7 linked regions of the Canis lupus familiaris genome follow. The protein of the gene in region 7 purifies or fractionates together with the protein of the main gene of each other region. This does not show direct contact. Links are inferred from orthologs where the notes say so. Each region holds a gene or a part of one and is shown on either strand. Other genes may lie near its edges.

Region 1 (3,500 bases), on a different chromosome or scaffold from region 7:
CCAGTATCTAATCCAGTGCCTGATATACAGAAAGCACACAGCATGAGTGCTTGTTCTGTAATCACATAGTATCTTTTCTTTCCATTTTAAAATTGATCTGTCTGCTTAACGGGGGGGGGGGGGGGGGGGGGGGGGTTATACATCCTCTTAAATGATTTATATCAGAAAAGATCTGTAATTTGCAAATTATATAATTTGCAGAAAAAGGTTTTCTCCCCTTTTGCTGGTCTTTTTCTTTCACTTTCTTCCTTATCAAGAAGCAAATAACTTGCGTATCTGTCCAAAAATCATCGTCTAAGATTACCCTCAGGTTAGTTAATATAACAAATACATGGCTACAATGATTTTTTTTAAATCTAACAATAAAATATTAAAACTCTAGCAAAGATTTAAAACTTCATTCACTGAATTAGTAGTCCAGAGTGCCTACAGCAATCTGTGCTATTAGAAAAAGGTACTGCAGGGATCCCTGGGTGGCTCAGCGGTTTGGCACCTGCCTTTGGCCCAGGGCGCAATCCTGGAGTCCCGGGATCGAGTCCCGTGTCGGGCTCCCGGCATGGAGCCTGCTTCTCCCCTCTGCCTGTGTCGCTGCCTCTCTCTCTCTATCATGAACAAATAAATAAATAAATCTTTATTAAAAAAAGAAAAAAGGGGCAGCCCTGGTGGCGCAGCAGTTTAGCGCCGCCTGCAGCCCAGGGGTGATACTGGAGACCCGGGATCGAGTCCCACATCAGGCTTGTTGCATGGAGCCTGCTTCTCCCTCTGCCTGTGTCTCTGCCTCTCTCTCTCTCTCTCTCTGTGTCTCTATGAATAAATAAATAAAATCTTTAAAAAAAAAAAAAAAAGAAAGAAAAAGGTACTGCTCCTCTGTGGTGCTTCTCTTAGGTCACAGTTTGGTGAGTAAAGTTCTACAGCTAGGCCTATAGTGTACAACCACAAGTGACAATACTGTATTAGATGCTAAAATTTATCCAAAATATTCCATTAATGGTACTAGTTTCTAAAACTGTGATGCTGGACCACCTGTATCTGAATCACCTATTACCTATATAAAAATGCTGCTTCTGGACAGCCCAGGTGGCTCAGCGGCTTAGCGCCGCCTTCAGCCCAGGGCATGATCCTGGGGACCTGGGATCGAGTCCCAGTCAGGCTCCCTGCATGGAGCCTGCTTCTCCCTCTGCCTGTGTCTCTGCCTCTCTCTCTCTCTCTCTCTCTCATGAATGAATGAATAAAATCTTAAAAAAAAAAAAAAAATGCTGCTTCCTGGGCCTCATCCAAGAACTCCTTAATCTCTGAGGACAGAGGTCAGAAATTACATTTTACCTAATTCTTTGCACATTAAAACTTTAGATCATTAGCATCATGATGGTAGCTACTTTGTCTACCTTATTTATAGCCAGATTCCTGGTGTCTCTAAGACTCCCTGACACAACGCAGGATTGTATTATTTGTTAGCCAAATGAATGAAACCACTACACCAAAGCATTACAGTTAATAGAAACTAATTCTATATACAGAGGTAGAAAATCACAGCACAGAAATTAAGAACATAGACCCTGATCCTGGTTTGCATTTTACTGTATGATATTGGGCAAGTTATTTTACTTCTCTCTGCTTCAGTTTCCTCACCTGTAAAATAAGGACAATAAGACCTCACAGGGATCTCTCACAGGAATATTATAGAGATACTGTGAGAATTTCAGTTGATATATGTCAAGTGCTTAAAAGAAAGTCCTCAATAAACATTTGTTATTATCTATTTCTAAAGTTTGTCTAAGAATTTTCAGTTACAACAATGAAGGTATTACCAAATTTATTAAAAAAAAAAAAAAGCTTAATAACATACTGAAAAGTCTACAGAACTACTTACTGGATCCATTAAAAACACTCGAGAAGCTGCAGAAAGATTCAAACCAACTCCACCTGCTTTTAAGGACAGAAGCATTATAGTTGGAGATCCTGCTTCAGTGTTTTGAAAACACTGAATTGATTCAACTCTTTTCTTCTGAGCCATGGAACCATCCAAACGAGTAAACACAAATCCAGAGGCTCTAATGGAGGGACAAAAGAGACAAGTAACACTTTACATACAATTTTTAAAATGTTAAGTAATTACAAATTTCTTCATTCAAACTAATCCTTCCACTCATTTATTCAACTCATTATTGAATATTTATTCAAATATTTGCTAACCATCTACTACCATGTCACGTTCTGAAGTCAGTTTTTTTTCTAATACAGGACTTAATCTTTAAAATTCTAGGCTCCCAGGAAATATTCTTTATTGTGACTACCATTTTAGACAGATGAAATGAATAGAACTGGTAGAACATTATTTTTTGCTCTCCAAATCAAAACACTTACATAAAATCTTTTTACTCACATTGAGAATCAATACTGAATTTACCTGAGCGGTGTTTCTATTAAAGACAGGAATGTTGTAAACTGAGAAACAACTAAACTTTTTATGTTGGGGTTCTTCTTTCTTAAGTCAATCAGTGCATGCATTAGAGCATTAATCTGAAAAAAAACATCAGGACACCCATTAGATTCCATTTTGAATGGGCAAAATACATATAACTTTTTTTTATTAGAAAAGAATGGTCCTGCCCCATTATTTCCCTAAAATGCAAAGTAGAAGACAACTAATGTTTTTAGAAATTAAGACGGAAAGAATACACTCAAACTGAAGTTCCTTGCCTCTTAAATCCACCACTATCAATAAAAATGTTAACACCAACCGAGTATTATATTCAAATGATAGGATTATAAGCAGAATTATTTTAAGATGTGGTATCCTTATATAAAATAAATACTCCAAATATCGTCCATGTGTATTACCTTCGAACTGGATGTCCATTCTGTATTAGACTTTTTCTCAGTGTCACATGCCAGTTCTTCCGGAGGACATTCTAATAAATTGTCTCCATGTATATCATTTCTGCATAAAGGACATTTAGCATGTGGCTATATAAGAAAAAATAAGATATAAGTTTATCCAAGAAACAAATATAAACTTCCCTACAATTTTTTAAAAGTATGGTAAATTCTATATCCTTAATAGCTAACATTAGACTTTTTTATTAGATTCATTCATTTGAAATAAATCTGTACACACTGAACTCCAAGCAGATGTAATATTCTTATGTGTTAAGTGGGACTGGGTAAAAAAGGGAGCATAGCTTATGGTATGTCATCTTGACAAACAGTAGGAATCCAAAACAAGTATTATAAAATAATTAACCCTTAAACATGGGTTTGAACTACAGAGGTCCACTTATATGAAATTTTTTTTCAATAAATACAGCACAGTAAAATAAATGGATTTCCTCTTATGATTTTAGTATTTTCTCCAGTTTACTTTATTGTAAGAATACCACATATAGGGATCGCAGGCTGGCTTAGTTGGAGGACATGCAGTTCTTGATCTCAAGGTCACGGAATGTAAGCCCCACATTGCATGTAGAGATTACTTAAATAAATAAAAACTTTAAAAAGAA
Region 2 (3,500 bases), on a different chromosome or scaffold from region 7:
CATGCGCTTTCTATCTGTGAGGATGCCCATGTGATTTGTTTACTATATTCTTGCTGCAGTGCACCGGTTTCTGCGTGTTGGGCTGACCTTGCATTCTCAGGTATTAAATCCTGTGCTGCGCCCCATTAAGGACTGTGTCTATGACCCTACGGACACTGGAGTTGTCCTACCGTATCTCTGGCTTTGGTGTCACAAGCCTCACGTTTGGTAGCATTGGCCTCACGTCACAAGCTGGGAAGTGTCCCCCCACCCCCCCGACTCTTATTTGTGGGAAGAGTTTCAGAAGGATCAGTGTTAGTACTTATTTGAGCATTTGGAACCATTTACCAGAGAGGCTGTCTGACCCAAGGCATATTACAGAAACTCTGGCACCCATTGCTTTTGCCAAAAGCAGATGATGGAAGAAGCTAAGTGATTACCTGGCCATAGTCAATCTCCAGAGGGTAGAATTTTTTGGGATGCTTCGTGAAGTTCTTGGCGTGCCAGGCATTCCCAGTTTTCTCTTCATACAATTTCATAAAGTGCTCGATGGCTTCCTCCTTGGACGGCACCTGCTCCAGTTTGTTGCTGCCAATCACGGTGCCCACACGGCCCCAGGACCGAAAGATCCAGTACCTGTGACAGGGCGTGGAGGGAGGGTAAGGATCAGATACAAACTGTGGGCTGGCCACTCACATCTCGGGAGGTTTCTCTTCCCTGCCACTCCACTTGGAGGAGAAAGAGCTTCAACCCCCAAGATGCTGACTGATACAGAGAACAGAAAAAAACACTGTAACAAAGGACTTTTGCTTTTGATGGAACTGAGGAGTAGAACTTTAAAGAAAGCCCCTTCAAATTTCATCATCGGTGAATGGGCCCTAGGACATGCCCAAGAACAGGTTACACTGCCATCTGGCAGGCAAGCTTGTGGAGTGAACCCCGGGGCTTATAATAAACTATAACTTTATATAAACACCTGATTTCACTCCTCAAAGAAATACAGTAAGCATCATTTGGCAGTCCTGTGCTCAAGAGATGCAACCGTTAGGGACATGCTTGAAAGATTCTGAAGGCTCTGGGGCTCAGCTCAGAGGCTGAGATGTGACAAGCACTGGGTGTGTGTGTCTGTGTGTGCACGGGGGCTCGTGTGCACGTGTGTCAGCAGCATGGAGGCTGAGCCCACAGTGTAAGGCCACCATTCTCTGTTCCCATGTCAACCTGGGGTACACACCACAGGTACCCGACAAGCTGTGCTGCTTAGTTTTTTTTTTGGGGGGGGGGGGGGGGAGTTCGTCTTTCTTAAAATAATGGAAATAATGTATAAGCTGAGTTTTAAGTCACAATAAGATGGTATCAGAACCTCAGACACAAGATTTATTTGTATGCATTTTTTTTTAATTTTTTTTTTTTAATTTTTATTTATTTATGATAGTTAGAGAGAGAGAGAGGCAGAGACACAGGCAGAGGGAGAAGCAGGCTCCATGCACCGGGAGCCCAACGTGGGATTCGATCCCGGGTCTCCAGGATCACGCCCTGGGCCAAAGGCAGGCGCCAAACCGCTGCGCCACCCAGGGATCCCATGCACTTTTAAGAAAACCAAAGAATTTAAAGAAGATCTAGGGCTTCCTGGAGGTTTTCTGGGTTCTTGCACAGAGATTCAGAAACGCAATCCCTGCTTGTGTTTTTCCCTGGAAAGGTCTGGGAGGTGCTTTCCCCAACTGTCCTGAAGAAATGTCCAGATCTGAAAGCCCATGCTGCCCCTTCAGTGAAAACCAGTTAAAGTGGGCCACCAGAGCAGATGATAATCCACATGCTGGAAGGCTTATTTCTTCAGAAAATCTAAGTAGCCTACTAGATAGTTTGGACCCTCAGGGTCACTTCTGAGCCACTTTCCAGGTGAAACTTTTGGTGAGAAGTAGAGGCAGTGGGAAGAACCAAGCCACCCACTGCTTATAGATAGCCGCTGGCCACGGTTTCTTAAAAGGGCTGAGTTGGCTCCCACAGGGCCACCGCTACACAGCTTCTGCCTTTCAACTAACTCCTGGACTTCCAGTGGGGAAAATTTCTACTTGCTAACAAGAAACAGTCCAGGTTAACCCACAAGTTCTGGTCCCACCAAACTGTACCTCCAAACGTGTGTACAGGGGTCAGACACTCTGGATTCAAAGGGCTGTTAAGAGTCCTGGGAGATGGTGGGACAAAACACACCCTGTGAAGCTGGGGGGCCAGACTCTAGGGAACCAGGCCTCCCCACACCCCTCTCGGGCCTACCCCCTTCACGGGGCCACCTCGCAGGCATTCCGTCCTGTCCCCAGAACACACCTGCTTTCTTTGTCATCCTCCAGGAGCTGCAGCTTGTAGTAGGAGTTGGTTCCCTTCACGATGTCTACCAGGCCTAGGGTGGCGCTGAACACTTTACCACCTTTCTCCAGAACATGTGCAGAGTGTTCCAGACCTGTGGAAGAGGCAGGGTGCCCTGTTTTAACTCCCATGAGGGGCCAATGCACTCTGGGAGAAGGAGGTCTGCAGGCGGTAAGGGGCGGGGGGCTTTCACACCCCCAGACACCATACTGCCAGTCAGATGACGCCCAAGAGGTAGGAGGGCACAGGTGCAGCCTGGGCACCCTAGTCTCTTGACCACCCATCCACTCCCGCTCCTGTGAGCTCACCTGAATCTGGATCAACAGCAGCACCACCTTTCAGAGTTAATTTCATTCTCTTCTCAGATTTGTTGACGCCTTGGAAGGGGACAAGAACTGTAACTGCTCAAGTAAAACAGAACTAGGAAATACGGGTGGGGTGGAAGGCAGGGCGAGGGAGCAGTCTGCCAGCATCCACAGACCATCTCAGGAGTTTGTGGGCCTCACCTTCCTCCTTGACCGGGCCCTTGCTCTTCTTGGAGAGCGCAGCTCCTGATTTGGCTTTAGGGGCTGCAGGCTCTGCTGGCTCTGCCTTCACCTCAGCCCCCCAGGGAGCCAGCACATGGGCGGAGAGCAAATCCTGAAGGCTCCTGGTGGAATCAGACACGTCCCGGAGAAAATCCTCAGATACCACTCGGATGCTGGCCTCTCTCACCTCCTCCATCTTCTTGTTCATCTTCTCCACCTCCTCTGTTCAAACCAGGGGAAGAACGGCCGAAGCATTAACTGTGAAGTAAAGCCAGAGCCCTGCTGACTGAGCCTGAGCCCCTCCTTGTCACCTAGTGCTGGGGGCCCATGTACAGTGCCGCCTCCTGCACACGGGTCTAGGCCTGTGGGCAGATGCACCCCAGAAGAGGAGCCACCTGCAGCCCAAACGGTAGGAAAGTGCTCGACCCTGCACCTCCCCAGGGCATCCCCAAGCACACAACAAGCAACTGGTTGCCCCTGCTCTGCAGGATGCCCCTTAATTCTATGGACAATTTCCCTTACATGTGGAAGCATTCTAGTTTGATGTGGTCCTGTTGGTCTGTTTTTTTTCTTGGGTGCCAGAGTCAAAAATCACCAAAACCAGGGTCAAGGAGCTCACCGTCTATTCTGTGC
Region 3 (4,110 bases), on a different chromosome or scaffold from region 7:
GACATAGGGACCTCAGAATCAAAGATCTGGGCATCGGGACCCTGTCATCAGTAACTACCAAGAAAAAAATCCCCATACGTAGAACAGCTCCTCCCGTTACCTGGTTTATTTTTTTAAAAATATATATTCTTAAGATTTTATTTATTTATTCAGATAGAGAGAGAGAGACAGAGACACAGGCAGAGGGAGAAGCAGGCTCCATGCCGGGAGCCCGACGTGGGACTCGATCCCGGGACTCCAGGATCGTGCCCTGGGCCAAAGGCAGGCGCCAAACCGCTGAGCCACCCAGGCATCCCCCGTTACCTGGTTTAGCATGACATCATAGACATCGCTCCCTTCACAGTACACGTGGGCCTGGGGAGAGAAGGAAAAAACTGATGGTAGCGTAACCTCAGGCTTCATGAAATCCTCCATGACGCTCTAGATTTTCTTGTGTCTCAACATGTCATTCCCCAGCACTACCAATATCCACCTTCCGGGGAAGGAACTGCCACACTAGGTCTTCTACACATTAGCTATGATTATCCTATGATGAACACATGTTGCTTTTTTGTAATTATAGAAAAACCAAGGATTCTAATGGCTAAAGGAAACCTGCTCCAAAAGAAGCCTTTCTTGTGTATTCTTCAAAGCCTTTCCACAGTCGTCAGTGACCCGTGCCAGAGCAGGGCAGTTTCTCATTAGAACAAAGATGGATCTTCCCTGAGAACGGGATTATTTTCCGAGAACGAGAACGAAGCGTGGAAAGCTGATGACAACCCCAGAAGTCAAAGACATGTGGATTATTAGCCCCAGACTCCCCTGCTCCCCTCTCTTAGCCTTGGAGACAAGTCATCGCCAGGAGTATCTCGGCGAGGGCTCCGAACTGAATGCCAGCAGCTTGGGGGCAGGAGTCCCAGCAGCCCGGGAACACGCGCTGAGAAACCGAGGGGCGAGGAGTCTCACCTTCCCCACCTTGGCTGCGCACTCGGGGTCCACGGGAGCTCTGCCTTTTAACAGCAGGGTCTTCACAGACTCTGGGGGAAGACAGACACATATGGGAGCTATGTGTGTGGGAATCAGTGTCCTAATGAACTCTGTCCTCCCCGAGCAATCCCCATCTGTCCAGGTGTCAATCTGTCTAAACGACACAAAACCGAAGATTCGGAGACAGGAGAGGCGCACTGTGGTTCGCCCACAGGATAGGAAACTAGTGACATCTTCAGGAAAGGAAGACGTGAGTGGAGAGGACAAGGCGTCCCTCGCCCCACCTCTCCCGGAGGCACTCCCGCGGGCCCACCGCCCGGAGCTGACCTGGCTTGTCTTCCGTGCTGCCATTACCGGCCCCTCCTGCAGTCAAAGGCCCCCTTTTCACCCCCTGCCTCTGGCATCTCCGAGTTTTCTTTGCAGGAGGAGGGTCTTCTCCAGCCGTGTTGCCATTATGAACTCTTCCAGCTTTGTCGAATGCTGCAGAAGCCACGGGCACGAAAAGTGAGCAAAGAACCAAAGGGAGGAATGAGTACCCCCGAACACGGTCCTACTTTGAAGAAAACATCATCTTTTTAAAGAAATGGTCCAGGACGGCTTCGTAAATTTATAAAGAAATGAGAACTGCCAAGCCGCTGGTCCTGGTGGTAGTCTGGGGAAATCCCTTCCTAAATTGCAATTGCAGCCAAAAACCTAAACAAAGTAAAATGGAGCCCCGGGGCTCTTGGGAGCTCGAGCTCGCAGGGGAGGCAGGAGTGTCCCCGCTGCTCTTATACTTGTGCCCCGAGCCTTCCCAGTACCCAGAGGCAAACCACACAGTGCTCTGCGGTCTCCTGTTAGGAGCCCCGTCCCTTCCCTTCCAGCGGCGGGAACTTGCGGAAGTCACGTCACCTCTTTGAACCTCAGTTGCCCTGACTGTAAAATCCAGAGGCTGACAGCGATGATACGGAATTTGTAGGATGGACCTCTGCACTTAGGTGCGTAAGAGAGAGAGGATGGTACCCACCAACCCTGAGGCCTGAATGTTGATGGCAACATCTGAGAGTGGGACGCACTGTGTGTGGTACGGTGGGTGACACGCAGTGTGCACTGTACAGCGGGTGACACGCGGTGTGCACGGTACAGTGGGTGACACGTACACTGTACAGTGGGTGACATGCGGCGTACACCATACAGCCGGTAACACGTGCACGGTACGGTGGGTGACATGTAGAGTGCACCATACAGCAGGTGACACGTGCACGGTACAGCGGGTGACACGCGTATGCACGGTACAGTAGGTGACACGTGCACAATACGGTGGGTGACACGCAGTGTGCGCTGTATAGCGGGTGACACGTGCACGGTACGGTGGGTGACACGTAGTGTGCATCGTACAGCGGGTGACACGTGCACGGTACGGTGGGTGACACGCGTCGTGCACCATACAGCGGGTGACACGTGCACGGTACGGTGGGTGACACGTAGTGTGCATCGTACAGCGGGTGACGCGCGGGCAGGAGTTGTCCGGCCTCTCCCGATGCCACATTCGCGCACCCCCCGACTGGCTTCTTGGAGTCGGTGACGGCAGCTGGGGAAGGAGGGTGCCAGCGACCGGAGGCCCTGCCCGCAGCCACGCCGCGACCCGCTGAGCTCGGAGGCGGGACGCGGGCGCGGGGAAGCGCAGCAGAGAGCGCCCCCCCCCGCCCACCTGGCGCCCGCCCCGCACCTGGCGCCCCCGCCCACCTGGCGTCCGCCCCGCCCCGCCCCGCCCCGCGCTCCCGCCCCCGCGCCTGCACCTCTCGCCCCGCCGCCGCCGCGCGTCCCCCGCCGCCGCGCCGCCATGGCGCCCGCTCGTCCCCGCCGGAGCCGCTCCCGCCCGCTCGCCCGCCCGCCCGCCGCCGGCCCAAGGCGGGAACGGAGCGCCGGCGCATGCGTCCCGAGGCGGTGCGGGGGCCGGGGCGGGGCGGGGCTCCCCGCGGTATTTGCATGCTGCTGTGTGTTATGGGAAGTCGCCGTGAGCGAGAAGGGCCGTGCGGGCGGCACTTTATAAGCGGCGAGAGGGCTGCGCTGCGCAGGGCGGCGGGAAGCTCAGCGGTGGGGCCACGCGCGGAGTGCGCGTCACTCTCTCGGCCCCTGGGAAGGTCTGAGACTCGGGCCAGCAGCGGCCCTAGCAGGGCCCTCCCCGCGCGCGGGGGGGTGAGTTCCCAGAGAGCGGGCCCCGGAGAGGGCCTTCGGGCAGGAGAGGCCGCGCGCGCGGCGGATGCCCCCTCCCCGGGGCTTGGAATAGACTCACGGCCGGCACGGTGAGTTCAATGGCTGGGCCGGGGCACCCGAGCAGGCCGGCGTCGGGCCGCGGGGCTCCGGAACCCAATTCAGACTACTCTCCCCCGCCCGCTTTTGCCCCCCCGACCCCGCCCTGGCATGGGGGCGTCCTAGACGCGCTGAGTCTGAGTCTTCCTTTCTTCTATTTCTACTTTAGAAGTACTATCTCCTGGAGGAGCGAGGAGAGCGCGCAGGAGCGGGGTGTGCGTGCATGTGTGTGCGCGTGTGTAAGGGGGTTCCTCGCCGGGTGGGGCCGCGCCTGGCCTGGGCCGAAGCCACACGCTTGACCTCCCGGGTGCCCTTAGCCCTTATTTATTCCTGAGAGACAGAGAGACACACACACAGGGAGAGACAGAGAGAGAGACAGGGAGACAGAGAAAGAAACAGGCAGAGAGACAGTGAGAGGCAGAGAGAGAGAGAGACAGGCAGAGCCAGAGAGACAGACAGACACACACAGAGACAGAGATAGGGAGATAGAGACACAGAGAGACACGGAGAGAGACAGGGAGAGAGACAGGGAGACAGAGACAGAGACAGGGAGAAACAGGGAGACAGAAAAAGAAACAGAGGCAGAGACACCGAAAGAGGCAGAGAGACAGAGACAGAGAGACACAGAGACAGACAGAGACACAGAGAGACAGAGGCAGAGAGACACAGAGACACAGAGAGAGAGAGAGAGGGGCAGAGACACAGGCAGAGGGAGAAGCAGGCTCCACGCAGGGAGCCCAACGTGGGACTCGATCCCGGCACCCCCCGGGTCACGCCCTGAGCCCAAGGCAGATGCTCAACCGCTGAGCCCCTCGGGCGCCCCTAATTCTTTAAAGGTTCTACCTCCAAATA
Region 4 (3,500 bases), on a different chromosome or scaffold from region 7:
ACCCCCTCCTCTGGCCTGCCTGGCCTACACACCATTCCCTAAACACATTCACCATGTAACTGCCTGGGTCATTCAATACCCTGTACTGGGAATGACAGGAGTTGCGGGAATATCAAAAAGTATGAGACATAGTCAGGGGTCTTTTTCCATTTCTCTCCACCCACTTAAATTCAACCTATCTTTCCAGGCCCAAGATTACTTTCACTATCTCCACAAAGCACTCCCTGGTAATTCTAGCCCACATTTTCATCTACCCTAATTCAGTTCTTCTTCAGAAAAAGAACGTACCCTCTCAACCCTGTTTTGTCATTGACACTTACACCTTAACTCTGCAATGTAGGTTTAATCTTCACAGTCTCCTCTCCAAGGTCATGCAAATCCAAAGGCCTTTTCTCAGTTCTCACCCTCACTTGGTGCCTGACAATGCAGACCTTCCTGACATCCTCTCCTCTTTCATTCTCAAGGTTCTCTTAGTTGACAATTCCTTCTGTCTCCTCTTCTTGTTGCTTCTCTTAAGTGGAGGTTTTTTCCATGCTTTGTTCTCTGGCCTCTCATTTTCCCATCCTGCTTCCTTCACAGTTTCAGACAAGGATCCAAACAAGCATTCCTCGGTCTTGATGTCTAGCTCTGATCTGTCCTGAATTCTCTGCTTTCCCACTGCCCAATCAATATCTAGATCTCAGTTATTTTAACCTATTAAATCTTCTGTCAGTGAGCTATTTTAGTAGAAAGAGTATTCCTTCTAGGTCCTTATATCCCTTTCTACCCTAGAGAACTAGGCAGAAGAATTAGGGAAAACCAATCTGAGGAATCTGAAGGGCTCTTCTCTATTGAACAAACTCCCTTGGCCTCTCAAGTCCCCAGGAAATAATGACAATAGTAATTTTACTCCTTTTGCTACTTTGTGATTTTTCCACATAAAAGGTACCCTTTCTCCTTCTCCATGCCAAAGGAGACTTCCAAGTTCCTCTGGCCCCAAACATCTTTACTTCTGTCTCTAAGAAGTGCTGTATCTCAGCGTATACTAACCTCATAAGACAACCTCTTCCTCTTCAACATTCAACCTGAGCTCTTGTTAGCACTTTCATGGTGGGTCTGATTTCTCTCCTACAGGTCTGACATTTTTTGGAAATATTCCCTTATGTAGATGGGGTGAGTTGGTCATAGTGGAGGTAAACAATGAAATGCTCTTCATGCCAATACTTGAACACGCACACAGGGATTGACATTATCAAAACACCTGTATATCCACTCTCCTCATTATAGTCCCATGACGTAGGTAGAACAAGTACTATTCACAAATTACAAATGAGGAAACAGGTACAGGGAGAGTAAGAGACTGCCTCAAAGTCACAAAACTAGTTTAATGATGATAAAACTAGCTAATGAGACTCCAAACTAGCTCTCTTAACTCTTTAATGTTTCATAACCCATGTGATACCTATCCTGTGTTCTCTCTTCGTTTATTCCATTCCTACCCCTTTTCTCTGCTTTGATTCTTACCTTTCATTTTCCCAGCTAGCTCATATATTCTTCTTGGCTCAGCAGACCGTGTTTCCAAAGCTGTGAATAAACCACCTCTGCCCCAGCGACCAGAATCATCTGATAGAAAACAACAACAAAAAACATCCAAATTCCAGTTCACAATTCAAAAACACAAAAAGTATGCCAACTAGATTTGTAGGAGAATGGTTTTTCAAAGGGAAGAAACACCTATGTGGCCTCCCAGGAATACCACGGGTTAGACTTCTCAAATATGTTTAGGTTTTATGGAATACACCTGGCTATCATAATAGGAAAGATGGAAAGCAGTTGTAACATAACAACAACTAAAGCATTGGTAATACAATAGCATACAACTCCCATTTTACAGGTAAGGAAGAAAAAATGTTAAATGACTTATTTGAGCTGCTACTAACATAGCTGGTTAGTACCTTCTATTTACAGTCATTCAATCATCCTACAAATATTTGTTAGCATGTATTATGTGTCAGACACTGTTCTAGGAACTAGTGTTACAACAGTGGATTAAAAAAAAATCCTGCTCCCATCAAGTTTATTTTCCAGTGCAATGAGACAATAATAGAAACAAACACATACATAATATGTATGTGGTGATACATGTAATAAAGTAAAATAAGGTAGGAAAAAGGGTAGAGAATAATAGAAGCATGGGGGTGGGGTCTGTTTTATGTGAGGCACTTAGGGGAGATCGGAGATGCAGACATTTAAACAATACTTATTGTGGCTCTCTGTGGAAAGAGGATCCAGGCAGAGGAAGTAAAAAGTGCAAAGATCACAGAAGTGGGGGGAACATGCTTGGAGTTTTACTTTTTCTCAAAAGATGTCTCTTCCCCCTTCTTAAACACCTTGTGCAGAGAACAGGAAATTATCCAACTGTACCAATAAAGAAACCTGAGGCCCAGGAGATTAGGCTATGCAACCAGTTAAAGGAGAGCACCAAGAGTCAAATCTATGTTGCTGGATTCTAAAACGTGCCCCCTTTTGACCGCAGGACTGCACTGGACCCATAATCACCCCTTGGTCAGGCCCCATAACCACCCCTTGGTCAGGCTTCTGCCTCCTCCTCCCCAGTTCTTAGCACCATAAAGAACAAGGCACCCATCCTGGGCCGGTACAACTTCTCCTACCTACGCAGTGCACGATGACAGCATCCTCTGCCCCAGCCTGTGGGTGGGTGACATCACCTCTAACATACTTGATGGCAGTTGAATCTGGATCTTCATAATCCAGCTGGGCAGAACTCTCATCTTCCTGGTCCTCTAGATCCTCTGGTTCGCTCTCCTCGGAAGGCAGGCAGAAGGACTGGTAATTGTTGGATTCCCACCACACCATCCTTCAACAGGCCAGAGAGAAAAGGAAATTAACCTGGCCTATCACAATTTCCCTCAGAGCATACTCCATCCTGCTATTCACAAACACCAAGTGCCCAGTGGAAATGCAATTAGATAGTCACCCTGATTGCAGTATTCTGCTCATTTGTAAATCAACAAGAAGTCTTACTGACTAGCCTAGTTGCCTCCTGACTATACTTCAATAAAGAGCAGCCACCAAATGTCCCTTTTTTTTTTTGGATGTCCCTGTTTTTAAGAACAAGATTAAGGTACTTTCAAGTGAACTACTCTTTGTCAGACAGCTACAATAAAATCTTAACATCTTCTCACTTCAACTGAATAAGTCTTTCTACCTTAGGCACTCAGGACATTTTGCAAAAGTACATTGTTAGGGTTAAAGTTCAATCTTTAAAAAAAAATATTCTATTATCAGAAGGAGCTACCAGTTTTATAAAAATTTACTGCAATTTTAAAGTGTTCAACTGCAGATTAAGTGTATCCTTAAAACATGACCCTCACCAGCTTTTTTATAATATCATTGAATAATACATACTTTTTCTCGTGTTCCACCTTTTCCTTTTTCCTCTTTTTCTCCTCCATTAGTCTCTTTCTCTTAGCTGCTGCTTCTTGTCTCTTCTTCCTTCT
Region 5 (4,032 bases), about 46 Mb from region 7:
CTTGCTACTGCCTCCTCCCCCAGCCGCAGTATTCCCCTTTCCTCTTAATGGTTTAATTTTCCTCCACAGCACTCACCATCTATCTGGTGCTTTACTTACTGGTTTGTCAGTCTTTCCCTCCTAACATGAAAGCTCCACAGGACTGACGTATTTTTGTCTTGTGCTGTCCACAGGACCTGAAACAGCGCCTGGCCTAGAGAAGGTGCTTCCTAAATAATTACTCAGTGAATGAAGGAACCTAAGAATCCATTCACTCCAGACTCTGTCGGTCCTGCCCTTGTGCTGACAACTTCCACTTGTCTGTCTCCATCCAGGTCAGGTTCTGATTCCTAACTGCCACGTGGACCTCAGAGGTCCCAAAGTCACAGCACACCTGGACACCCCAACTGAAGGTGTCAGCTTCTCAAGCTGCCCCTTCTCTGGGTTTCCCATTTCAGTGACAGCTGCAATATCTCCCTCAGTCTCCCCAGCCAAGAGAATCCTGTGCTCGCTCTGGCCCCTCTGGTTCCCTCAACCCCGTGTCATGTCTCTCCTGCCTCGGGTCTCTCTGCTCTCACTGCCACTGGGGTAGAGAATGGAATGTGATCCTCCTGGGGTCACCTGATCCCTAAGAGAGCCCAGCAGAATCATCACCTGGTAATAAACACATGAATCCCTCCCTTTACACAAACATCTACGTGTTGACAGAGCACTTCTGCAGACATTATGTCACCACATTTTCACAATAACCCTTGGCTTAGATCTCATTATTCCCAATGGACAGGTGAAAAAACAGGTTTAAAGAAATGAAAAAATGTGCCTGAGGTCACAGAATGAGTAAGACAGAGAGATGGGGACTTGAATTCAGGTCCCAAGACTAAATCATGAACAACCTGTACCTCCTTCAGTGTGTGTGTGTGTGTGTGTGTGTGTATTTTTTTTTGTACCACCCTCAGTTTAAAACACTGGCTCTTGGACAAGTGGCATAACCTCTCTGGGACTCCGTTTCCTCATCTCTAAAATGGAGGTACTATTAGACTTAGGTCATGGGTTTTTATAGATTCAATGAGTTGATCCACATGAGGTGTTCCAAACTGTAACTGGCAGTTGTAACGTTAAATCAATGTCAGCTCTCGTTATTATTACTATGTTAGGGACTGAGGAGATGTTCAAATTTCTAAAATCAGAAAGTTTTATAGGTCTGTGTATTTTTCCTGGGGAGAGAATCCTCAGCTTCCAATTCTAAAAGGGCTCTGTGACTCCAAATTTTTTCAGAACCACTGGGCAAGAGAGAGATTGAGAATGTGTTCGACACAATCATGTGAGCCTTGCCCTGCAACATCCCTCCCCAAACACCCCTCCGTTCAGAAGTAAGGAATAGAACCAAGATCAAGAAAGCCAGTGTGTGAACACAAAGCAGTGTGACAAAGTGGTTCACAGCACCAATGTGGGTCTGAGTCCTGCAAGCCATTGACTGACGGTGACAGGGGCCCCTCTGTCACACCACACTTGTGAAGAGAGATCATGAAGATGAAACACCCAGGCCAGTACCCAGCACAGAGCAGATGCTTCAAACGCTTAGCTTAGCTCTCTCCTCCCACCCGTTTCTTATCCCTGACAGGAACAGCCCGTCGAATTCCATACCATATGGGGTCAAACCACCTTCTCCTCCCAGCCTCCCTCCACCTTCACAGTGCTGGGATAAGACTGGGTGAGAGCACTCAGAAGAACCCGGCAAGCATTCCTGAACGGACGGAGACTGGCCACTTCACCCCTGCACTCCACTCTGCTTCAGTCTTCCCATCTTTAAAATGGGATTGATTGGTTTCCATGATCTTCCAAGAGACCCCTTCCAGCCCTGTGCCCACTGACTTCAGAAGCAACCTACCCAGAGGCCATACGTTGATTCCTTTTTTTTTTTTCATACATTGATTCCTAAGGTCATCCTGGCCTAGTCCTTGGGCCACCCTTGTCCTCTGCTAAGGGGCATAGCCATCACACGGCCCATTCTCCAGGGAAGAAAGCTGAAGCCCAGAAGGGAAAAGTGTCCTAACCCACTGGCAGCTGGCTCAAGAGCAGTGTGACTGGACCCTGAGTCTCCAGACTCCCCTTAGGAAGCAGACGGGGGGAGGGCAGGATCACCTGGAGCACCACAGAGATGGTCTTCTCGCCTGCCTTGGCTGCTCGCCATTTTCTGTAAGTGTCCGCCTTGAGAAGGTTTTCGGCACAGTGGGTCTGGAGATAAGAGTGGAAAAGGGAAAGTAAGGGTACAGGGAAGCGAGCTCGGTCCTCGGCTCTCAGGTTATTCCTTTGAGTCCTCCGGAGCCGTCCGCGCTCCCCCAGATTTAAAATTCCCCGTTAGTCCCACCACACCCTGCCTCGAGTCCTCTGGAACACCCGGGATGCTCCCCAGTTCCTCCTTTCCTGTCCAGAAGCTCCCCTATCTCTCCCAGAATTCCCCGATAGCCTCCTGGAACCCCCCACAACCCCCACGACCCGCCATGGACTTCCGTGAAGTTCCCTTTCACACTCCCAAAGTTCCTGTAGCGCCCCCGCACGGATTCCCTTACGTCTTCCAGCCTCCCCCCCACGCCAGTTCCTCACCGAGTCCTGGCTACTGCAGGACACCACATGGCGGAGACGGATCTCCGGCATGTCAACGTCTCGGGCTTCGCCTGGCGCCAGAGATAAAAGAAGGTCCGAGCTTGGGGGGCGTCGAGGGGGGAGCGCTCCCCGCGCGGGCTGGAGTGCGCAAGCGCACAGGGCTCGGGCCTTTCAAACCGCGGCGCGCCGGCGCTCCCGTCGCCGCCGCGCAAGCCCAGTTCGCGCTTCTCCGGAGCGAGGCGCTTGGTATCCTAGCAACGGGCTTTCCCCTAGGCCCCGCCTCTCCTAGGCCCTCACCGCGCTCTAGCCCCGCCTCCCGGTGACGTTCACTCTCTGCTTTCTCGGCGCCTGGCAACAGGAGCGGGCTCCGGGATTGGCTCCTAAAAGAAATTCGCCCTTCTCATTGGACGACGCAGTCACCGCCCAAATTGAAGCCTTTAGAACACTAGAAGACCCAAACCTGAGTGATTTTTTTTTGCAGGGACCCTGGAGCGTACCGCTACGGGGTCCTCTACACGGGATTTCTGAAGTTACGCTCCTCCCCGCTACTCCGCCACCACACACACACACGAACAAAATCTCCGTTCTCTTATGCCTGAGGCCAGGAGAGAGTGGATCAAAGATCTAAAGAAGGCACAAAGCATGCATCCAAACGAGATACACACACCCAAACTAGAATGCTTCCACCCATGCCTCAGTTTCCCAATATGTGACCTGTGGGCATATGTGTCCTACCATGCCTGCCCCTGCCTGTTGACAAGCATCCCTCTGTTCCGTCCCCGTGAGACCCAGAGGTGCAACCCCAGGCAGGGTCGGAGCTGGGGACAGCCCAAATACCGAACAGGGAATATAAGCCAAGTGCATGAAGACAGAAGAGACACAGGGTGCCTAGTCCCCCGCAGAACGAGTCTGGACATGCTGGGCACTCCCAGGTAGGGCCCCACCCATGCTGGGCAACTACTGGAAAAAGAGAGAGGGGATCTCAGTCCTACCAGCCACCCTATACCTACAGGGAATCAAGTGACCCAACTCTGACCTTGGGCTTCAGGCCAGCAAAAAGGGGAGAGGAAGGTGGTGGGAATGTGAGAAAACAGGAAAGTGACCTTCTGGGTCTTGATGAAAGAAAGTGCTGAAAGTCAAGAGTCCTGGGGTCCCTGTGGAGCAGGTGCTGAGCATGAGATGCCCATGTCCCTTTTGGATTCTGGTTCCATATCCCCAATGTAGAGCCACAAAGACCTGCCCTGAGATCTTACCTCAGCTATTTCTCACCCCAGGGTGAAGGCGGATCCAGAGGATCCGCCCTTCCTCAGCTTCCTATAAGGGCTGGGGACCTGGGACTTCAGGTTCACTCACCATGAGGACTCCCATGAGACCGGAGACCTTCCTGCTGGCCTTCATGTTGCTCTGCACCCTCCTGGGTCTGGGTAAGTGAGAAGGGGTCTGGACCAT
Region 6 (3,500 bases), on a different chromosome or scaffold from region 7:
TAAAGCCAGGCCAGAACGCAAGAGCCAGGCCCCAGAAGGAACACAGAACACCAACACGTGGAAGCCAAACTCAGGTCCAGAACAGACCTAGGCCTTACCCACCACTGAGACGACAGTTCGAGAGAGTGTTCGAGACCCAGGAAGAGGTCGGCCTGGGCTGAGCCACTCTGGGCCATGATGGAAAGTTTGGAGGAAAAAGGAAGAAACAGGGAGTTGGGTATGTGGAGGAGGAGGTAGGGGCAGACACCTGTGGAAGGGAGGCAGCAGTTCAAGCAGCAGGCACCTGTGGGGAGAACAGGTGAGTTATGACAAGATGGATGGAAAGGAGGCAATGAACCCTCTTAGGAGCAACAAGGAAACAGAAGGGTCTTCTCCAGGGTGGGAGCTTGGGACCCGCAGCCATCTTCAGAACAGTACGAAAGGACGTTTGCAATCAGAGTTTTTCCTGATACAGGCAGATCCCTAGTCTCTGAGAGTTCCAGACAGGGAGTAGTCCCACTGTGACGGAGGGTGGCCCCTGCCACATGATACCAGCAGTGAGGTCCGGAGAGCACACTTGCTACCTATGGGGCTTGGAGTGGGGAGAGAGGAGGCCTGTATAACTGTCCCCCAAGCACAGGAGAGACAAGGGACAACTGGTAAGAGAGAGTCAGGAAAGGTCTAGAACTCTGAAAGCTGGGCCCAAACCTCTTCCAGGTAGCAGAGGTGCCCACTGAGCAGCAACCCAGGAGAGTTCCTGGACAAGGTTACTGGGCCCCACCAAGCCGGTGAGTCTGCACTAATCTCCCTGGGGAGGCCAATGCTTAGCCCTCCTCTGCATATCTGAAATGAATGGCCCAATGCCCGGTGCTCCAGCAGGGAGGCAGGGGTGAGGGAAGCACGCGAGCCACCCAACACATCTCCTCCACCCCCAGGGCTCTGAAAAATGGAGTCTGTCCTGGGAGAGAAGGCATAGCAAGCACAGAGAGTCCCCTCTACTCAAAGGCTACTGGGGCCAGATATCCCAGCAGCTTTTCCCTGAGGAGTGCCCCAAAGCTCACAGAAACCCTGGCTGCTGAGGACTCAGGGGCAAGGTTCTTAAAGCCCCTTAATAAAGGACAGGAGTCTGTGCTCTCAGATGTCCCCACTGGATTGTGTTTACATCACAATGTAAGCTTCTGGCGGGGGAGGAGGGCAAGTACTTTTGTCCATTTTTTTTTACTGCTGTACATCCACTATCAAGAATAGCACCTAGCGCAGACTAAGCACTCAGTAAAGGCTTATCAAATTCATGAAGGACAGCCCAATAGCTTCTTTGTCCCTAACCTGTAATTTCACTCGTGGAGCACACAGGACATGGAAACGCAGAAGACAAGCACTGCAAGTCACTTGCCAGGTGAGCTCATGGTCCCAGCATCAATGTGGGCAAGGGGAATGTCACCGTCCCCTGGGGCTCTGTGCTAACCCAAGTGTGGGATCTTCGGGTGTCCCCACTGAGCAGCCCTTCATTGCAAGACTCCAAAAATACATACATTCATTCAACAAATACAAAAGAAACTCTACTGCATACCAGAGCTGAAAGGACTACAGAACCACAGCCTCGAGGTTCTTAGGGGAAGGGAGGGAGATGGTCCCAGCAGAGGAAGGGACCTGTACCTTGTGAGGCAGCACAGGCTTAAGGCTGCGGCTGAAGTAGCTGAAGTGATCCCCGTTCTTATGCACCTGGACTCGTTCCCCATCGTACTTGATCTCGGAAAACATGCCGTTAGGACACTTCTTCATCGCATGCTCGATGGACTTGCAGGCCTCGGCCTTGGGAGGGGGAAGGGGAAAGAAAAGCCTGGAGACTTATAGGTGTTCTTCACTGGGGGCTGCTTGGGCATGACAGCCCCAGAGTCCAGGTCCCAAGGCCTGCTGACCACAGGATACCCTCCAGGCAGACTGCTCAAGAGCTGGGGGAAATGTACAAGGCTAGGCAGTGCTTATTTGGACTATAAGCATCACTGCAGCTAAAACAGGAGCTGGGCTTTTGGGGACTACAAATAAATAAAATTCCACTGAAACAGTATTTCATTTTTTTTTTCTCAGTAATTCAGGATCTTGCAGGGCCTTGGCTTCCTATTAAACACAGCAGTAGGGATGCCTGGGTGGCTCAGTGGTTGAGTGTCTGCCTTTGGCTCAGGGTCCTGGGATCGAATCCCACATCGGGCTCCCTAAGAGGAGCCAGCTTCTCCCTCTGCCTGTGTCTCTGCCTCTGTCTCTCATGAATAAATAAATAAAATCTTAAAAAAAAATCCCCCAAAACAGCAGTGACCTCAGCACAGGAGATATGTAGAGGGGAAGATAAAGAGAGGTAGGCGACAGAGAGGCTGGCATGGTAGCAGTGGTCAGAGAGCCCCAGGACAGGCCACAAGAGTGCCTCTGCACATACCAGTGCCATCCAGACTCAACCTAACCACTACCATCCTGGGGGTGTCTGTATGTGTCAGATCATCTTATGTGATAGACACAGTTTTCATTTTATGGATGAGAAAACCAGTTTGAAGAGCATTAGAAGTCCTCACTTCAAGTTATACAGCAAGTGAGGGGCAGGAATGATGCTAGGCCCAACTCCAAAGCCTGTGTAGTTTATCACGAAACTATCTAACCTATACACTCTTTGAATAAATGGCAGGTTGTACAACAGACTCCAAGAAGAATTCGTATGAAAGTCAGAAAGATCACTACTGTGATCTGAGTCCTGTCCCTGGGATGCAGAGCTCACTACTTTGGTGCTGGCCGTGCCACATTCCGGGAGAGAGAAAACACTTCCCCATCCCAAACACAGAACCCTAACCAAAGGCTGTAGTCTATATTGTAGACTACATGTCACAAGACAGGCTCATGAAAGGCACTGCACCCCAATGGAGCAACCCCAAGGCTCTCACTAGGCATGGCATTTGGGGAGGGTCCCACTGCCCAGAAAAACCAATGTAGATAGGAAATCCTACTTCTCATGAAATGAGCAGAGGCTCAAGATGATCTTGAGCAGATGCTCAACCACTGAGCCACCCAGGGCTCCCATGTTATACCAAGTCAGACCTGGTCTTCATTCCTTAGGCTTGTTTCCAGAAGAAAGAGGTCAAGTCACTGTGTCACAGGAAGCCTGGCTCTGCCACTATAACTGTCAGAGCTACTCTGGGGTAGGTCACAGAACTTTAGGAGTTAATGTATCCACCTATCTTTAGGAAAGATGACTGAAAAAGGATTCTAACTAGATGCTTCAGATGGTTTCATACATAATTCACGCAAGGAAATGAAAAACCAAGAAAGGCTAGGTAATTCATTCCAGATTCTACAGCTTGCTGGCGGCAGAGCTGGGCCTCAAGTTCAGACATTTCTACCAGACCACAGTCTTCTCCTTCACCTTTATACACCCATTGAGATATACCCTTTTGCATCTCCATTGTGCCTGACCCAAACTCCTCCGACATTCATACCCTCCCAGATCTCACAGGGAAGGTTAGAACATCTGGACAAAG
Region 7 (2,873 bases):
GTAACATTTAATTCACATTTGAAAAACATTAAAAATAACCTGCATACGCTTCAACACAATCCTACGGTTTTGAGTTAAACTATATTAAGACAAACATTACCATTTTTCGGAACCAAATTCGGGATCACCAAGTTAATCCAAGACTTATTTTGCCACAGATTTTACGTTTTAAGTTTGTGTCTACTAATGCTGTTTATAAATAAACCTACCGTTGGATTCATTAGCGTCAAGCCACTAATGGTGGCCGGCAATGACAGTCTACAGGGTGCGTGGTGCCTGTTACCAGTTACGTCAGACGTCTAGGTCCCCCGAGCGTTAGGTTTACTTCCATACGTATTTATTGCACGCAATTGCTTGTGGAGTCGGTTAAAAAACCAAGCTTCTGAGCAGCTGAATAAGCTGAGCACAACCGATTCAAATCACCACCTGGTTACTGACCTTTGGCCACAAATGTCAAAATGTTTTCATCTTCTTTCCACACTCAGACAACGGACAAGTTATTTTTGGTAAACTCTAGTATTTATTAAATTATAAATTCTGTAATCAAAAAGAAAAATGCAGGTCAAGAGAAACCTCAAACTACAAGGACCAGACAGCAGAGCCTATGGGAAATGCCATGGAGTATGTTACAGACAAGATTCTGAAACAGGAGTTATTAGCTGTTTTCTTTACACTTCCATTTCGGTAACTTTACTATTTAATAGTTGTTATTCATCTATTTTAAAATCCCGAATTCACATCTATTCTCACATTAAGCTTCCTGCTCATACCGATACCAGACACCTCAGAGGTGCCAGATTTTAGTAATGGTTTTACGTCAATCCATGCAGAAAAGTAAGACACAATGCAAGAGTCAGATGAGGACTGTTAATGCACAGATAATACACACACGCTGGCCAAAGGAACTGAAGAAACTTTTAAAAACTATAAAATAAACAGACCTCAAGAAAACTGGGTTATTACTAAACAGCTCTCAACTATTAACGCCAAGTTCCTTATATTAAATAAATTCCTCAACAGAGACACGTTAGACATTTTAATTACAGGTCTGTCCTCCCCACACCCCTTCCCCCCCCAGCTCCCAACAACGCACTACCAGGGACGAGTATGTTACGTGGGCAGAAATTTACAGAGCGCTGCCTTAACTTTGAGCCTGGAGCTGAAGACTGTCGTATTTAAACTTCAGTTACTGTGCACTGGCCATCAGGTCTTCTAGACCGGACACCAGCATTCACTGTTCCACCCCCTGCGACTGGTCGATCAGTCCCCGATCGATCTGATCTATCAGATACTGTCTGGTTTACACTAGGAACCAAAAGTCTCTGGTGGGTCAAGGAGTGCTGTGCACCAAGCGCAGGTACTTCCTCGCTTTCACTACTGGCATCGGACTCGGTCTCCTCCACGGAGGTGTCTGGTGCGGGGACCCTGCCCGAGGACGGCGACTCGTGATCCTCTTCTCCTTCCCCCCTGTGACTCCTTTCAGCTATGCTGTCTCCACCGAGGTGCAAATGAGCAAAAGAGTCTTCCAGAGAAGTGCTCGCATCCGGGGACGGCGTGGCAGGGCTTGTTAAGGGACCATCCACCGATGCTGGGGGCCTCGCAGAAGACGCCAGGGGCTGAACAGAAGCTCCACTCTGCGCTGGCACGCTGTCCGCTCCGTCGGCAGAGCTCTCTCTCGCTAGGTTGACCGTGCTGGAGTCACAGTCCAGCCTAAGTCCAGCTACTCCCTTCTTTGGTATATCTATTATATCCCGCTTAATCTTCCTGCGACGTCCGTGCTCATTTCTCCTGTATTGAACCATATTTTCAAGATCAGCAACATACAGAAACCCAGCAATTAACATTTCAGTGCTCTTTTTACCTTTGGAAAAAGCATCTTCCAACTCTCTACTAGTGCGCTCGTCATACTGCCACCACCCATTTCTTCCTTCGTAATACCACGCATATTCACCGTTTCCTCGACTTGCTGCCTTGAGTTCTTCTGGGGACAGTAAGGTTGGCTTGTCAAGGAAATCTTCAGGAATTTCTTGTCGACACAGGGCACATCGCTTTCCAAGCCATGAAGCTCCCTTTACACACAGATAGCAGAACACATGCTTACACGGGAGACTGACGGGGTGGACGCAGGTCTGCAGGCAAATGGCACATTCAGGGACAGTGAGCGAAGGCGCAGTGTTAGAACAGGACTCATTCGCTTTCCTGTTCGTAGGAAGCATGTTTATCGAGTGATCAACTTCACCACAGCCAGCCATCCTAAGAAAAGGAGAGCAGATACACGTAACATTAAAACTGCGTTTCAACTCTTCCAATTTCTTAATTCAACAATTCAGAAAACACTTATTAAGCACCTACTGTATATGTGTGCTACACACTGGAAAATGGGAAAACAAAAAAGAAAAAGAATTTAACTTGTGCAGAAAAATCTTTGATTTTTTTCTGTCATGAATTTTTACTTGTGGGGAGCAATGAGAAGCACAAATGTTAAGCCAAAAATAAACTCATGATCTGTTTCCTCCTTATTTACTCCCTAAAAGCTCCCCACCCCCAGGGATAACATTATCCATCTGCTCTTTCAAGCCATTTGAAATCCATCACTGACACTGCCCTTCCCCTACTCCTCACATCCAAAACATCAGCAGGTCTTACCAATGTGATCCCACTCTCCTGAATCCATCTACTGTCCATCTCTGCCCTAGCCATCCAGTAAACAGTGTTCATTAAATGCCTGAATATGCCTTTTAAATTGTTCCAGTCTTACCTCCTGCTTAAAAAGTTGATTTCAGGATAAAGACCAGGATGTTTGTGTCCTGCAGTGGTCCCGCTCCTCAGCCCCCATACCAGCCTCATCCCCACCAGACCTTCCCTTGATCAGG

What was found.
Region 1: the proteins of RNF146 (region 7) and HLTF purify together in Homo sapiens (affinity purification with mass spectrometry; 4 studies listed by BioGRID and IntAct, with this or other methods). This does not show direct contact. The link is inferred for Canis lupus familiaris from reciprocal best matches to the Homo sapiens genes RNF146 and HLTF.
Region 2: the proteins of RNF146 (region 7) and PARP1 purify together in Homo sapiens (affinity purification with mass spectrometry; 4 studies listed by BioGRID and IntAct, counting the BioPlex papers as one, with this or other methods). This does not show direct contact. The link is inferred for Canis lupus familiaris from reciprocal best matches to the Homo sapiens genes RNF146 and PARP1.
Region 3: the proteins of RNF146 (region 7) and PARP2 purify together in Homo sapiens (affinity purification with mass spectrometry; 4 studies listed by BioGRID and IntAct, counting the BioPlex papers as one, with this or other methods). This does not show direct contact. The link is inferred for Canis lupus familiaris from reciprocal best matches to the Homo sapiens genes RNF146 and PARP2.
Region 4: the proteins of RNF146 (region 7) and CHD1L purify together in Homo sapiens (co-immunoprecipitation; 3 studies listed by BioGRID and IntAct, counting the BioPlex papers as one, with this or other methods). This does not show direct contact. The link is inferred for Canis lupus familiaris from reciprocal best matches to the Homo sapiens genes RNF146 and CHD1L.
Region 5: the proteins of RNF146 (region 7) and XRCC1 purify together in Homo sapiens (co-immunoprecipitation; 3 studies listed by BioGRID and IntAct, with this or other methods). This does not show direct contact. The link is inferred for Canis lupus familiaris from reciprocal best matches to the Homo sapiens genes RNF146 and XRCC1.
Region 6: the proteins of RNF146 (region 7) and LIG3 purify together in Homo sapiens (co-immunoprecipitation; 3 studies listed by BioGRID and IntAct, counting the BioPlex papers as one, with this or other methods). This does not show direct contact. The link is inferred for Canis lupus familiaris from reciprocal best matches to the Homo sapiens genes RNF146 and LIG3.

What each region holds. Positions count from the first base shown.
Region 1 is NC_049244.1:44,393,713-44,397,212, forward strand, and holds part of HLTF (helicase-like transcription factor), read right to left. Parts: intron 2,968-3,500; coding exon 2,842-2,967; intron 2,521-2,841; coding exon 2,408-2,520; intron 2,052-2,407; coding exon 1,871-2,051; intron 1-1,870. UniProt on the Homo sapiens protein: Has both helicase and E3 ubiquitin ligase activities. Possesses intrinsic ATP-dependent nucleosome-remodeling activity; This activity may be required for transcriptional activation or repression of specific target promoters.
Region 2 is NC_049228.1:38,477,305-38,480,804, reverse strand, and holds part of PARP1 (poly [ADP-ribose] polymerase 1), read right to left. Parts: intron 3,090-3,500; coding exon 2,847-3,089; intron 2,718-2,846; coding exon 2,649-2,717; intron 2,435-2,648; coding exon 2,302-2,434; intron 616-2,301; coding exon 420-615; intron 1-419. UniProt on the Homo sapiens protein: Poly-ADP-ribosyltransferase that mediates poly-ADP-ribosylation of proteins and plays a key role in DNA repair.
Region 3 is NC_049236.1:17,830,115-17,834,224, reverse strand, and holds the start of PARP2 (poly [ADP-ribose] polymerase 2), read right to left. Parts: upstream 2,801-4,110; 5' UTR 2,791-2,800; coding exon 2,745-2,790; intron 1,447-2,744; coding exon 1,294-1,446; intron 1,017-1,293; coding exon 946-1,016; intron 355-945; coding exon 304-354; intron 1-303. UniProt on the Homo sapiens protein: Poly-ADP-ribosyltransferase that mediates poly-ADP-ribosylation of proteins and plays a key role in DNA repair.
Region 4 is NC_049238.1:58,465,696-58,469,195, reverse strand, and holds part of CHD1L (chromodomain-helicase-DNA-binding protein 1-like), read right to left. Parts: coding exon 3,409-3,500; intron 2,858-3,408; coding exon 2,652-2,857; intron 1,603-2,651; coding exon 1,504-1,602; intron 1-1,503. UniProt on the Homo sapiens protein: ATP-dependent chromatin remodeler that mediates chromatin-remodeling following DNA damage.
Region 5 is NC_049222.1:112,263,822-112,267,853, reverse strand, and holds the start of XRCC1 (DNA repair protein XRCC1), read right to left. Parts: upstream 2,801-4,032; 5' UTR 2,635-2,800; coding exon 2,584-2,634; intron 2,215-2,583; coding exon 2,122-2,214; intron 1-2,121. Other genes in the region: PINLYP (phospholipase A2 inhibitor and Ly6/PLAUR domain-containing protein), read left to right, coding at 3,938-4,007. UniProt on the Homo sapiens protein: Scaffold protein involved in DNA single-strand break repair by mediating the assembly of DNA break repair protein complexes. Negatively regulates ADP-ribosyltransferase activity of PARP1 during base-excision repair in order to prevent excessive PARP1 activity.
Region 6 is NC_049230.1:38,321,392-38,324,891, forward strand, and holds part of LIG3 (DNA ligase 3), read right to left. Parts: intron 1,792-3,500; coding exon 1,636-1,791; intron 1-1,635. UniProt on the Homo sapiens protein: Isoform 3 functions as a heterodimer with DNA-repair protein XRCC1 in the nucleus and can correct defective DNA strand-break repair and sister chromatid exchange following treatment with ionizing radiation and alkylating agents.
Region 7 is NC_049222.1:66,568,566-66,571,438, reverse strand, and holds the end of RNF146 (E3 ubiquitin-protein ligase RNF146), read right to left. Parts: intron 2,254-2,873; coding exon 1,176-2,253; 3' UTR 501-1,175; downstream 1-500. UniProt on the Homo sapiens protein: E3 ubiquitin-protein ligase that specifically binds poly-ADP-ribosylated (PARsylated) proteins and mediates their ubiquitination and subsequent degradation. May regulate many important biological processes, such as cell survival and DNA damage response.